Linked DNA regions of Callithrix jacchus. The protein of the gene in region 1 interacts with the protein of each later gene in a biochemical or structural test. Links are inferred from orthologs where the notes say so. Each region holds a gene or a part of one and is shown in the gene's direction. Other genes may lie near its edges.

The links. The genes of interacting proteins can lie anywhere in the genome.
Region 2: the proteins of CHM (region 1) and RAB7A are reported together in a solved structure, tested with the Homo sapiens proteins (2 studies listed by BioGRID, with this or other methods). The link is inferred for Callithrix jacchus from reciprocal best matches to the Homo sapiens genes CHM and RAB7A.

Annotation. Positions count from the first base shown.
Region 1 is NC_133524.1:83,293,132-83,299,070, reverse strand, and holds part of CHM (rab proteins geranylgeranyltransferase component A 1), read left to right. Parts: intron 1-3,094; coding exon 3,095-3,259; 3' UTR 3,260-5,939. UniProt on the Homo sapiens protein: Substrate-binding subunit of the Rab geranylgeranyltransferase (GGTase) complex.
Region 2 is NC_133516.1:73,418,845-73,425,997, reverse strand, and holds the start of RAB7A (ras-related protein Rab-7a), read left to right. Parts: upstream 1-3,157; 5' UTR 3,158-3,351; intron 3,352-7,153.

The DNA of each region.
Region 1 (5,939 bases):
TCCTGCTGAAGAGGTCGGGAGGCATGGCACTGAGAAGTTCTTGCCCTTGAAACTGTGCCCCCTTGTGGACCCCGGGAGAGAATACATTCCCTCACTATCATACTAACAAGTTCAACTTAAATCTTGACATTTTTACTTATGTTATTATTAGGAATAATGAAAATAGCTATCATATATGTTGGCTTACTCTGATATTTTATAGATATGGAAGCCAAAGCTCAGATATTGAGTAAACATTCCCCAAATCACATAGCTGTTAAATAGTAGAGCCAGCATTTTTACTGAGGCTATCTTTTCAAAATCCATGAGATTAAACAAGTGCTATAGTCCTTCAAGTCCAGGGAATAGGAACTATATCAGAAAGCAAATGGTTGAGCAAACAGTGAGGAATTTTCTTCGTTTGAACAGTGACTTGTTAAAAATTATTATATGCGAAATGAGACTATACCAATATTACATATACGCTTGTTTTAGTCTGTACTCACACTGCTATAAAGATACTACCTAAGACTGTGTAATTTGTAAACAAAAGAGGTTTAACTGACTGACAGTTTCTCATGGCTGGGGAGGCCTCAGGAAATGTAAAATTACAGTGGAAGGCAAAGGGGAAGGAAGACATGTCTTAAATGGCAGCAGGAGAGAGAAAGTGAAGAGGGAATGGCCAAACACTTTTAAAGCATCAGAACTCTTGAGAAGTCACTATCACAAGAACAACATGGGAAAAACTGCCTCCATAATCCAATCACTTCCCACCAGGTCCCTCCCCAATACTTGTGAATTACGATTTCAGATGAGAATTGGGTGGGGACACAGCTAAACCATATCATTCTGCCCCTGGCCATTCACAAATCTCATGTCCTTTTCACATTTCAAAATCAGTCAAGCCTTCCCAACAGTCCACCAAAGTCTTAACTCATTCCAGCACTAACTCAAAAGTCCACATCCAAAGTCTCATCTGAGACAAGGCAAGTCCCTTCTGCCTATGAACCTGTAAAATCAAAGGCAAGTTAATTACTTCCAAGATACACTGGCGTATAGGCACTGGGTACCTGTTTCCATTCCCAATGGGAGAAATTGGACAAAACAAAGTGGCCATAGGCCCCATGCAAGTCCCAAATCCGGCTGGCCAGTCATTAAATCTTAAAGCTCCAAAATCTCCTTTGAGTCCATGTGGTCACATCCAGGCCATGCTGATACAAGGGCTAGGGTTCCATGCTCTTGGGCAGTTCCAACCCTGTGGCTCTGCAGGGCATAGGTACTGTGCCTGTTTTCTCAGGCTGGCATTGAGTGCCTGTGACTTTTCCAGGTGCGTGGTGCAAGCTGTTGGTGGATCTACTATTCTAGGGTCTAGAGGACAGTGGCCCTCTCTTAGCTCCACTAAACAGTTCCCTATTGGTTACTCTTTATGGGGACTCCAAGCCCACATTTTCCTTCAGCACTGTCCTAGCAGAGGTTCTCCGTGAGGGCTGTACCCCTGCAGCAGACTTGTGCCTGGTCATCTAGGCATTTGTAAACATCCTCTGAAATCTACACAGAGGCTCCCAAACCTCAACTCTTGTCTTTTATGCACCCTCAGGCCCAACATCACATGGAAGCTGGCAAGGCTTGGGGCTTGCACCCTCTGAAGCAACGGCACAAGCTGTACCTTTATTCCTTTTAGCCATGACTGGAACTGGAGCAGCTGGGATGTAGGGTACCATATTCTAGGGACACACAGAGCAGTTGGGCCCACCCAGCCTAAGAAAACATTTTTCCCTCCCAGGGAAGATCTCTGACATGCCCTGGAGACCTTTTCCACATTGTCTTGGCTGTTGACATTTGGCTCATCATTTCTTATGCAAATTTCTATAGCCAGCTTGAATTCCTCCCCAGAAAATGGTTTTTTTTTTTCTCCCACATGGTCAGGCTGCAAATTTTCCAAACCTTTATGCTCTGCTTCCCTTTTAAACATAAGTTCCTATATCAAACCATCTCTTTGTGAACACACATGACTGAGTGCTTTCAGAATCGGCCAATCCACCTCTCGAATGCCTTGCTGCTTAGAAGTTTCTTCTGCCACGTATCCTAAATTATCTCTCTCAAGTTCAAAGTTTCACATATCTCTAGGTCAGGGACAAAATGCCGCTAGTCTTTTTGCTAAAGCATAGCAAAAGTCACCTTTGCTCCAGTTTCCAATAAGTTCTTCATCTCCATCTGAATCCACCTCAGCCTGGATATCATTGTCTATATCTCTATCAGCATTTTGGTCAAAACCATTCAGCAAATCTCTAGAAAGTTCCAAATTTTCCCACATTTATGTCTTCTTCTGAGCCCTCCAAACTGTTCTAACCTCTGCCCATTACCCAATTCCAAAGTCACTTCTACATTTTCAGATTATCTTTATAGTAGTACCCCATTCCTTGTACCAATTCTATTAGTGCCTCTTACACTGCATAAAGATACTATCCGAGACTAGGTAATTTATAAACAAAAAAGGTTTAATTGACTCCCAATTCCACATGGCTGTGGAAGCCTCAGGAAAGTTACAATCATGGTGGAAGGTGAAGGGGAAGCAAGGCATGTCTTACATGGGGGCAGGAGAGAGAGAAAAGGGGGAACTGCTAAATACTTTAAACCATCAGATCTCATGAGAACTCACTGTCACAAGAACAGCATGGGAGCAGCTGCTCCCTTAATCCAATCACCCCCTAACACATGGGGATAACAATTTGAGGTGGGATTTGGGTGGGGACTCAGAACCAAACCATATCAAGGCTCTATAAGAAATCATACAAAATAATATTAAGGAAATTGTATTTCTATTGATATATAGAATGAATGTGTTTCAGTTCTCAACAGTTTGAACACTTGATAATGAACCTGATGGGGTACTGCCATCCTTGAAGAGTGGACCTGAATACGTGTATAGAATTAAAGGGAGAAGTCATAGAATTCTGAAAACAGACTTACAGAAGTTAACGTATACTGATAAAGTACTATAACCTGCTTAAGGGAATTTTAAAGGATAACACTGAATTTTTTAGTTAGTGCCAGAAATGCACACACATTTTAAACTGATTTCCAAAAATGATTTTATCTTTTCTTCATTGGCCAGGCTGAAACAATTTTCCAGGAAATCTGCCCCAGTGAAGATTTCTGTCCCCCTCCACCGAATCCTGAAGACATTGTCCTTGATGGAGACAGTTTACAGCCAGAGGCTAACTCAGAGACTCTCAAGGAAAGCACAAACCTTGGAAACCTAGAGGAGCCCTCTGAATAATGGATACATACTAAACTGAATACCCCACTTTGGAAATTTCTACTGGTCTCAGAGCCTGCTTGATAGAAGGACTGTTTGAAAAATGTTAGGAAGCAGCACCAATTATAAGGCAAAATAGGTAATAGAAATCCGAAAGGGGATTTTCCTGATAGAGGACATTCCAAAAACACACAACACGTATAAAGCACATTGACCTGCTCATTTTAAATACCAAACTTAAGTGACTAGCAGATGAAAATTATAAATCATTCGATTCTCAGGAATGTAACTATGGATATGAAAGTGATCCTATGCACTGTTAATAATTTAGTGGTTTTAGGACAATTTTGTTTGCCACTTTGGGTCTTTGTTGGAAAGCCACATTTTCAGAACCAGCTCACGTATTTTCTTTGATTATTTAAATTATAGTTTCTTTATTAATAACAGCATTATAACACAAGGATAAAAACATATATAGAAAAACTAAAGTATCATGATCTAGATAGAAGCCTGTATTTGGAATATGGGTTTGTTTTGTTTTGCTTTGCTTTCTCTGTTGAGAAGCATTGAAAATGCTAATATTAAGGTGTTTACACATTTTTATGAATAAGTCGGTAATGTTTTCTTTTTAGTATCAGTGATATTTGTTTGTAAATTATTTACATATTGGGAAGGGTCAATAATAAAGAAATGAAAGAATGGAAGGAAAGGCATGGATAGACTCACTGGTATTTGGATGTTCTGTCTGTCAAGTAACTAGAGTACTAGGCTAATTGTCTACAGACCTAATTTAATCCTGGCTCTCCTACTGATGATATTTGGTAAATTGTTTTAACTTCTTGGCCTATGTTTCTCCATATATAGTAGTACCGTGCCTACTGTATGACAATGGTTATGAAGACAAATGCAGTGCCATCTTTAGTATGGCATCACTGGAAGAAAATTGTTTTAGAATTTTCCCATTGACTTGATGAATATCAAAAGTCTCACGCAGGAAATAATTGCGTGCTGTCAGCTTCAAACAAAATAGATCACAGCATTTTTATTGCATTAAGCTTTTTAAATGAAAATTTCTTTTTTTAATTAGTATTTTATAGTCTTACAGATGAGTAAAAATAGTAACAAGTAGAGTTGTGGTTTTGAAATCTGACTAAGGAAAACACTCTATAAATTGTTCCTGTTCCTTTTCTGGTAGGTAAACCTGCAACCACCCAGGACTTCAAATTGAGTGTGACAGTTGGTAAGCCCTAATATACATGCTACATAAAATTTTAGGGCTGCCAGTAATCCCAGCACTTTGGGAAGCTGAGGTGGTTAGATCACTTGAGGTCAGGAGTTTGAGACCAGCCTGGCCAACATGGCAAAACCCTGCCTCTACTAAAAATATAAAATTTTAGCTGGGTGTGATGGTAGGCACCTGTAACCCTAGCTATTTGGGAGGCAGAGGTTGCAGTAAGCTGAGATTGTGCCACTGTACTCCAGCCTGGGCAACAGAGCTAGACTGTCTCAAAAAAAAAAAAAAAAGTTAGGTCTGTACATAGGCAGCAAACCTAGCTACAGTGACGTTGCCTATATTTAAGTTTTCTCAAATGGCCAAGCTCTGATGGTCTACTTTATCTGAGCAATAGTTTAGTCTTATAATTGCCTGTAAATAAATAAATGAACTCTAAATTTTTTTTTTCACAAGATACAGCCCATATTGTCTATCAGTAAGCCATGGCTCCATTGTAAAGCACATAGTTCTTATATACTTCAAGTGGAGCTGGTCCCTGACCTCACCAGGTTTCAGAAATGTTCTTAAAGGAAGCTAGCTGTAGCATGTCACAGATTCATGGGATATGAAAGAACCAAGGAACATAGCTCATGCCTCTCCTTTCTACCCCCTGCAGATATAGTTGAAGCCAGAATAATGGAAGAACTAAACTTACTGGCCTCTCAGGCTGCTCTTGTTCCTACCTCCCAGTGTACAGCTCCTCCCCATCTCTTTAGTCTCCTTTCCTTCGCTTCCCCTTTTATAATGTCACATAAATCAGGACAGTAGGATCACGTTATAACCTACTTTGTCACAGGGATTCAGATTTTTCTTATATCAAATTGTGTTTCCTGAAACCCAGCTGGGGCATATGCACTCAATGTCTAATACATACCTATTTATGTACCGGGTATTGGCCTTGCCTCTGGATATCAGCAATACATTATAAAAGGTTCCACTAGATGAGACAATTGAGTCTGAATACAACTGCAGTAAATTGTGCCAATAAAGGTATTGCACTTTTATGGTCTTAGAGTTAAGGCCGCTTGAATGCAGCATGCACATTCTTGTAAACAGACAATCAGGATAGGCCTAGAATAACCACAAAAATTCTGATGGCCTTACTGCAGTCGCCTATATGTAGAATAATGAAGGAGATCGTTTGTGGTCCATTATTGTATGCCATTTCATTCATTAGCCAGCGTCAACATTTCTTTTTCAGGTCATTTATTAAATATTACAGAAATGTTTAAAAGTTGCTGAACATGATTCATGTATTATACAACTGCTAAAAGACTTTCAGAACCTTAGATACTTCCTGTTGCCTCAAAACGTAATAGAAATTATTCTTAGAGCTTTCTTTTTAGTTGTCCTAATTACTGCAAATAAATATTTGTTCTTAGAGTTTTAAGTCAAAAAGAAAAATCTTTTGGTTTTGTTATAAAACCT
Region 2 (7,153 bases), on another chromosome or scaffold:
CACTTATTTTTTGTTTGTTTGCTTTGAGACGGAGTCTCACTCTGTCGCTGAGGCTGGAGAGCAGTGGTGCGATCTCAGCTCACTGCAATCTCCGCCTCCTGGATGTAAGTGATTCTCCTGCTTCAGCCTCCTCAGTAGCTAGGATTACAGGCACATGCCACCACACCTGGCTAATTTTTGTATTTTTAGTAGACACGGGGTTTCACCATGTTGGCCAGGCTCGTCAAGACCAAAATACTTCTAATATTGAATATTAAAGTAAATGTGAACTATATATACATTTAAGACAGATTAATGAAAATGGGCAAGATAATTATTTATCCAGTTATTCCATCTCAGGGTCGCAGGTGGCCAGAATCTATTCTGGAAGCTCAGGACAGGAACCAATCCTGTATAGGATGCCATCCCATTGCACACACACACGCACATGTACTCAGACTGGGACAATTCAGACACGCCAATTCGCCTAAAGGGCACATCTTCGAAATGTGGGAGGAAACCAGAGGAACCAAGGAAAACTCGGACATGGGGAGAGAGTGCAAACTACACAGACAGGGGCCCTGGCCAGGAATCAATTTTTTCTCATCAATGTTATAACTGAAATGATGTTATTGGAGGACCTGCTCTACTCAACTCCTTCCAAGGACCCTAAAATTCTCAACCCCAATACATCATTGGCTCAAAATGGATCTTGTCATGCAAATCAGGTCCAGGTGCGGATGAGTTCCTCAGATATAATTCCTTAAGAACATTTCTGAGTACTGTTCCTCTGAAGGTCTGCGAGCTAGAGGCGTTATCTGCTCTCCACAGACCCAGCATATGGAACATAAGCAGAATAGACACTTCTGTTCAAAAGGGGGAAAAACAGGAGTGACAGCTGCCACTGGGTCATAGTAATTCTGAAATCTAGCCAGGTACCTGATGCCAGCTCCTCAATTCGAGTCCCCTCCTGCTCCCTGGAAATGATTATCTGTAGCTCCTGGCTCTACCCTCTTGGCTCATAGGTTTCTTCTAAGCCATCCTTTCTTTCCCACAGGAAATACCCCATGTTTACATCTGAATAGCCTTCTCAGAAGTCCTCTTAGAAGGCTGGGGGCCCACATGTCCCATTTAACTTTTGTGCTCTGCCTTTTCTGGTATAGTAGTTGTCCCTTGTTATTTGTGGTGGATTGGTTCTAGGACTTGGATACTCAAATCCTGCAGTTGGCCCTGCCAAACCTGGGGATGAGGACTACTGCATTCCTAGTTGCTACTTTATCTTCAAACCCAGAATTTTGATTGGCTGCTGAATGGGGTGGAATTATCATAACTCTTGGCCTTCGAAACTATTTTCAGTTTCCATTCCCTTGAATACTCTGTAAATTGTACATATTGAGCTCCTACTACACCCTAACACTGTTTCAAGAATCAGGGATTTATCTCAGTGAATGAAACACAAAAATAGCTGCCCTTATGGAGCTGCCATTCTAGTGGGGAAGGCAGACACTATGTAAATAAGTGAGTAATATAAGAGGAAAAACTTTGGGAGGCTGAATTATTATTCAACACCAGGAGTTCAAGACTGCCTGAATAACATAGTAAGACCTCCTGTTTACATGCAAAAAAGGAGAAAAGCAGTAAGGGAGATGGCAATTTTTTCGTGTGTGTTGTGGTGACAGAGAAAGGGACTTCGGTTTTAAATAGGGAAGGCTATTTTACTAAAAAGTTTACTTTAAAGTCAAGACCAGAGGAAAGTGAGGGAGTGGCCAAGCAGATACCTGGAGGAAGAGCTTTTCAAGTAGAGAAGTACAACTGCAGTGGTCTGATGTAGATGTGTGCCTTCTCTTTTCTTTCTTATTTATCTTTTGGAAGAAACAGTCTTGTTGTGTTGCCCAAGCTGGTCTCCAACACCTGGGCACTTGCAAAGTGAAAGCAGAGAAAGAGTAGACTTACTCCAGAGGCAGATGGTATGCAAGGCCATTTCAGAATACACATAGAGAAAACAGGAGAATAGATTGTGAGGTTTTTGGGGAAAGAGCCAATTTTAGTTGAAAAAGGGGGAACCCCAGACAATGTACCATCTCAGGCTTGAGACTGCTCGCCTAGCTCCTAAGATTTTTTTTTTTTTTTACCCAGGCCCTTCAACTCCTGAGATCTTATCGAGAAGCTGCTGATAGCCAGCTTTGGGTGTTTCTATCTATTGGGAGACTGCCTCTCCCCAGGTCTGGCTGCAACCACTTATTGTTTTAGAGTGACAGCTTAACAACCACCTGACCACTACCTGATGGTTGCCTCACATTGCTGGTGGGGGAGTGGCCCATCTCCTGCCCTGCTCAGGTCTGACTACTTATCTACTGTAACAGTTGCAAGGTTTTTGGATGGAACAATTGAAAGAATGGAGTTTGAATGAACCAAGATAAAAAATGACTATGAAAGGGCATTGTTGAAGATGTGGACAAAAGTTCTGAGTGGATCCTGATGTGTTCAGATGGGGCTGGTGCTTGCGAGGCGGCTCCATGCTTGCAAGAAGAGTTCTACTAGGTCCATCTTTGTCACATCTTCTTTAAGACTAAGTTCAGAGAGGCTTAGCTATTTTTCCATTTTTGTGGGCTGTCTCTTCTGCCAGACAGTGTCTTTCTTTTAAGTGTCTCTATCGCCGAGCCACACAATTGCTGTAGTCATTTACAGTCTACTAGAACGATAACACACATTGGCATCAGACAGACCTTGGTTCAAAACCCTGCTCCACCAGTTTCTGTGTTGAGCTAGACCAAGTGACCTGATATGCTGGGTCTCAGCTTCTTATTTGTAAAATGGTGATACTAATCTTTGCTTAAGTGGTTAAAGTAAGGATAAATGATGCCTTCCGAAGAAGGACACAACTGGAATGGCCAGTTTACCCCTCGTCCTCTCTTCGCTGGCATTCTTTATTCTGTAGTAAGGACGGATGGCTGAGGGAATCCGTCTGCGGGTCCAACATGGCGCCGTCCTGCTTCTTGTACGAACCTCAAAGATGGGGACTATCTCCTGGGAGCAGACATGTTTGTAGCACGTGACCCAGGCTCAGGCACGAGGCAGCCGGAACGTGACGCAAGGTTGAGGCGGGGCTCCACCTCCTCACCCTGGCGTCGAGCGTCTCGTGACAGGTACTTCCGCTCGGGGCGGTGGCGGTGGCGGAAGTGGGAGCGGGCTTGGAGTCTTGGCCATAAAGCCTGAGGCGGCGGCAGCGGCGGAGTTGGCGGCTTGGAGAGCCCAGGATAGTTCGCTGGAACTGGAACTTGGACTTCCCCGCTTTTGTCCTCCGTTGAGTCTCCTCCTCGGCGGGAGCCCTCGCTACGCGCCCGGCCCGGAGCCCCCAGCGCAGCGGCCGCGGTAAGCAGCGGGCCCAGCCCGGCCGGCGGCCTGGCCCCATCCCCCTCTTCAGCCCCTCGGTCGCCAGGGCCTCGCGTCCTCCCTGTCCTCCTGGGCAGACTCCGGGCCCAGCCCTGGCCTCGCGGGGAAACTCGGCATCGCTCAGGTCCCTGGAGCAGGCCCGGACCCCGCCCGGCTTGGAGAGGTCGGAGGTCGTCGGGTGTGACCTCTGGCTGGGTTTCCGACCCCGGCCGCCAGTCTCGGACGCTCTGTTTACTGTTGGTGTCGATCTCAGAGACCCGAGAGGGTTCCCTGACTTGGGCGGCCCTGCGCCGCGGCAGGACGCGCTAGCCGGTGGAGTTCCTTAGCGCGGCGAGACTGAGGGTGTCGGAGCCCACCCCGCCCGCCGCTGTGCCCACCTGGCGGGCATGGGTCACAGGCGCTTGGGCCGAGCCGCGCGTTCTCATCCGGCTCTTCAGTTGAACAGCCTGACCCTGTTAGTGGGAGAGGTTCCCTGACAGCAACTGAGTCAGGGCAGTGAGTCAGGTCACGTGCGCTGGGCTCGGCTCGGTACTTGTGTACATTGAGGTGCCTCTGGCGCTGGGAGACGGGGAGCTTTTTGTCATAGGCATGTTACGGTAAATCCTGAGGTAAGTTTTTCAACTTATTTGAGGAAAGATGGTAGTTGGATGCAGAGTTGTGTTTCCATTCCGACCGTGTTGGGGGCCTCTTTCTGCATTCATTTTAGTCTTGTTACCTATGGTTCATAAGGGGAATATTGAGAATACTGACAGCAAATATTTGAGCGTTTATTGTATGTTAGGCAGCGTGGCAAGACCTTTTAATAGATCATTATGTTTACCCTTTGTTGAAAGAAAACATAAATCCTCTGAAGTACCACTGTTGTGCCCACTTAACAGTGGGAAGTTGAAGAACAGAGAGGTTAAGTCATTGGACCAAGGCCACACAGCCAATAAGTTATGAAGCAGAGTTTCAAGCCGAGGCAGTCAGAGTCCAGAGCAGTGTATTCAATTTCTAGGTTATACTGCTTTCACTTGCCCCCAAAGCTTGTGGTTTATCTTTTGCCACCTGGTATCTGTACCTCACTGCCTCCCACCACCTCCTTTCTTTCTGTTGATGTCATTCGAAAGTCTTTCATCAGTTCTACCTTAAGGCTATAAGAAATGCCATTTGCGACTTATCACACATGTTGTGGTGTACTATCACCGAATTAGGAGCTCTTGAATACTGGCAGGGTACTTAATTGAGGTTTGAAAAATTTTGCACGTAGGCCTGGCAAGCCTGCTTCGTGAACCTTTCTTACAACCTTAGTTGATGGCTGTCCAGCCAGTTGGTTCTTTACTATTGAAAATACTGCATCTTTAGTTTCCTAAAGAACAGGCTCTTGTCTCTTCCTTGTGACTTAAGCAGCTGATGAGGCACATGATTTCTCATCCATGGATTAATAAAATCTCCTCTTAGTGTGTTTCTCTCTTCTTACTTGGGAAGGTTTGTTCAGATTTGAGTGTAAGAACTGGAAGGTGAGTTAGGAGTACTTCTGAAGGGACTGGCTAAGCTAAAGCTTAGTGTTCACAATCCTGTTGTATTCAAATGTGTCCTTTTTTTTAAACTTTGCTACCCAGCCTAAAATATTTAAGTGAGTAATAAGTACTGTAGCTTTATATGATGTTTGAGTTTAGAGGAGAGTAATGATAGGCACCTTTTTATTCGTTCATGAAGTATTTTGAGTATTCATTGAGTATCAGCAATGTATCAGGCATTGCGGGATATTGACTCAGGGAGATAGGCATGGTTCCTGTCCTCAAGGAATTTTTAAAAGGTGAATGATCTTGGCCAGAAATTCTGTTGTGGAATGATTTGGTGGCAGAACTCCAGGCTTTTTGAAAGAGTTATTTTCTCTTCTCTGCTGATGAATCAGTAGTAATCCAAAGGCTGGTGTTCTGGCTAACTTTAAGACTTCGTTAATTTCAACAACAGCATTTGTATATAAGGCTTGCTCTCCAGAGAGTGTAGAAGATAATATTACAGTTTCTAATTAATCTCATCTTTTAAAGAGTAACCTTCAGCACTCAACTTGTTTCTCCTTTTGCTCTAGTGGCATTTTATTTAATTTTTTTTTGAGATGGAATTTCGCTCTTGTTGCCCAGAGTGGTGTGCAATGGTGCAGTCTCAGCTCACCACAACCTCTGTCTCGCTGGTACAAGCAGTTCTTCTGCCTCAGTCTTCTGAGTAGCCGGGATTACAGGCATGCGCCACCATGCCTAATTAATTTTGTATTTTTAGTAGAGGTGAGGTTTCTCTATGTTGGTCAGGCTGGTCTCGACTCCTGACCTCAGGTGATCTGCCCGCCTCAGCCTCCCAAAGTGCTGGTATTACAGGTGTGACCCATCTTGCCTGGCCAACTCTAGTGGCATTTTTTGTTCACTCAAGAGGTAGTCTGTGTCACTGCCATTAATGTTGCACTGCAGTGTCTTTGAGCAAAGATACATTTGGCGTGCTGGATTTTTTTCTTCAGCTGGGAAGAAGGTTTAATGTAGCACTGATACTGTACCAGCCATAGTTTCAGTACCATTCTAGGTAGAAAAGCTGTGCTGCCCTATCTTCCACAACTTTCCAGATTCCCTTCTTTAAGAGATTTGAGTTTTACATTTGTGGTAAAACATTAGTAAACAGAAGGGCGGAATACAGGAGATATTTTAAAAATAGTTTTATTAGTATATCCTTCTAGGTAGTTAGCAACCACCTGGGGCAATTTTGTTTTTCTCTCTTTTTTTTTTTTTTTGAGACGGAGTTTGGCTCTCGTTACCCAGGCTGGAGTGCAATGCCGCAACCTCCGCCTCCTGGGTTCAGGCCACTCTCCTGCCTCAGCCTCCTGAGTAGCTGGGATTACAGGCACACGCCACCATGCCCAGCTAATTTTTTGTATTTTTAGTAGAGACGGGGTTTCACCATGTTGACCAGGATGGTCTCGATCTCTTGACCTCGTGATCCACCTGCCTCGGCCTGCCAAAGTGCTGGGATTACAGGCGTGAGCCACAGCGCCCGGCTTTTCTTTTTTTTGTGCCAACTGTGCCTAAGCTCCCAAACCGTGTAATCAGAGAACAGTGCTTGATAGTAAAATGTGACTTCGAATCAGTTTTCTGACCTCACTGCCAAGTGAGGCCAAAAAGTTTTGCTTATTTGATTAGCTTTGAATGCATCCTCAAAGAGATCTTCACTAATAATGTTTTTGCTCTTACATTTGGCATTAGCCTTTGTATGCAAAGATGTAGCAAACACAGGCCACACAAATATGACAGTTGTCTTATGCACATTCCTCTCTGGCATTTCACACAAATATTTTAGTTTTTCCTATGATAAAATATCTAACTCCCCATTCATATAATTGAACAAATACAGCTGAAATAGATTTGACCAGATATTGGACTTGGAGCTGTAGGCAGGCTTTTCGTAGGGAGGTAAGGTTTAGAAGTCCTCCTGAATAAGACTAAACAGAGATTCCCCTTGGCACTAAATGTCTTCTTCTGAAGGCAACTGAAACTCTAGAAATGAACTCCCCACCTCCCTGTGTATTTTTTAGCTATTGGCTTTCTGTTGATGACTCTTAGCTCTCATTGTATTCTGGCATCCATTCCTTTGTGTTACTGCATGCTTATCTGTTAATATTATCTAATAGATCTCTATGCTCCTCTGCAGTTTGCTGCAGAAACATTGTGCGATGTGTTGATCTTTTCAGTTATTTGCTCTCACTTCTTCCCTCTATTCTGTTTTTCCCCTTACTCTGTAAGGCATTAAAGGCAAA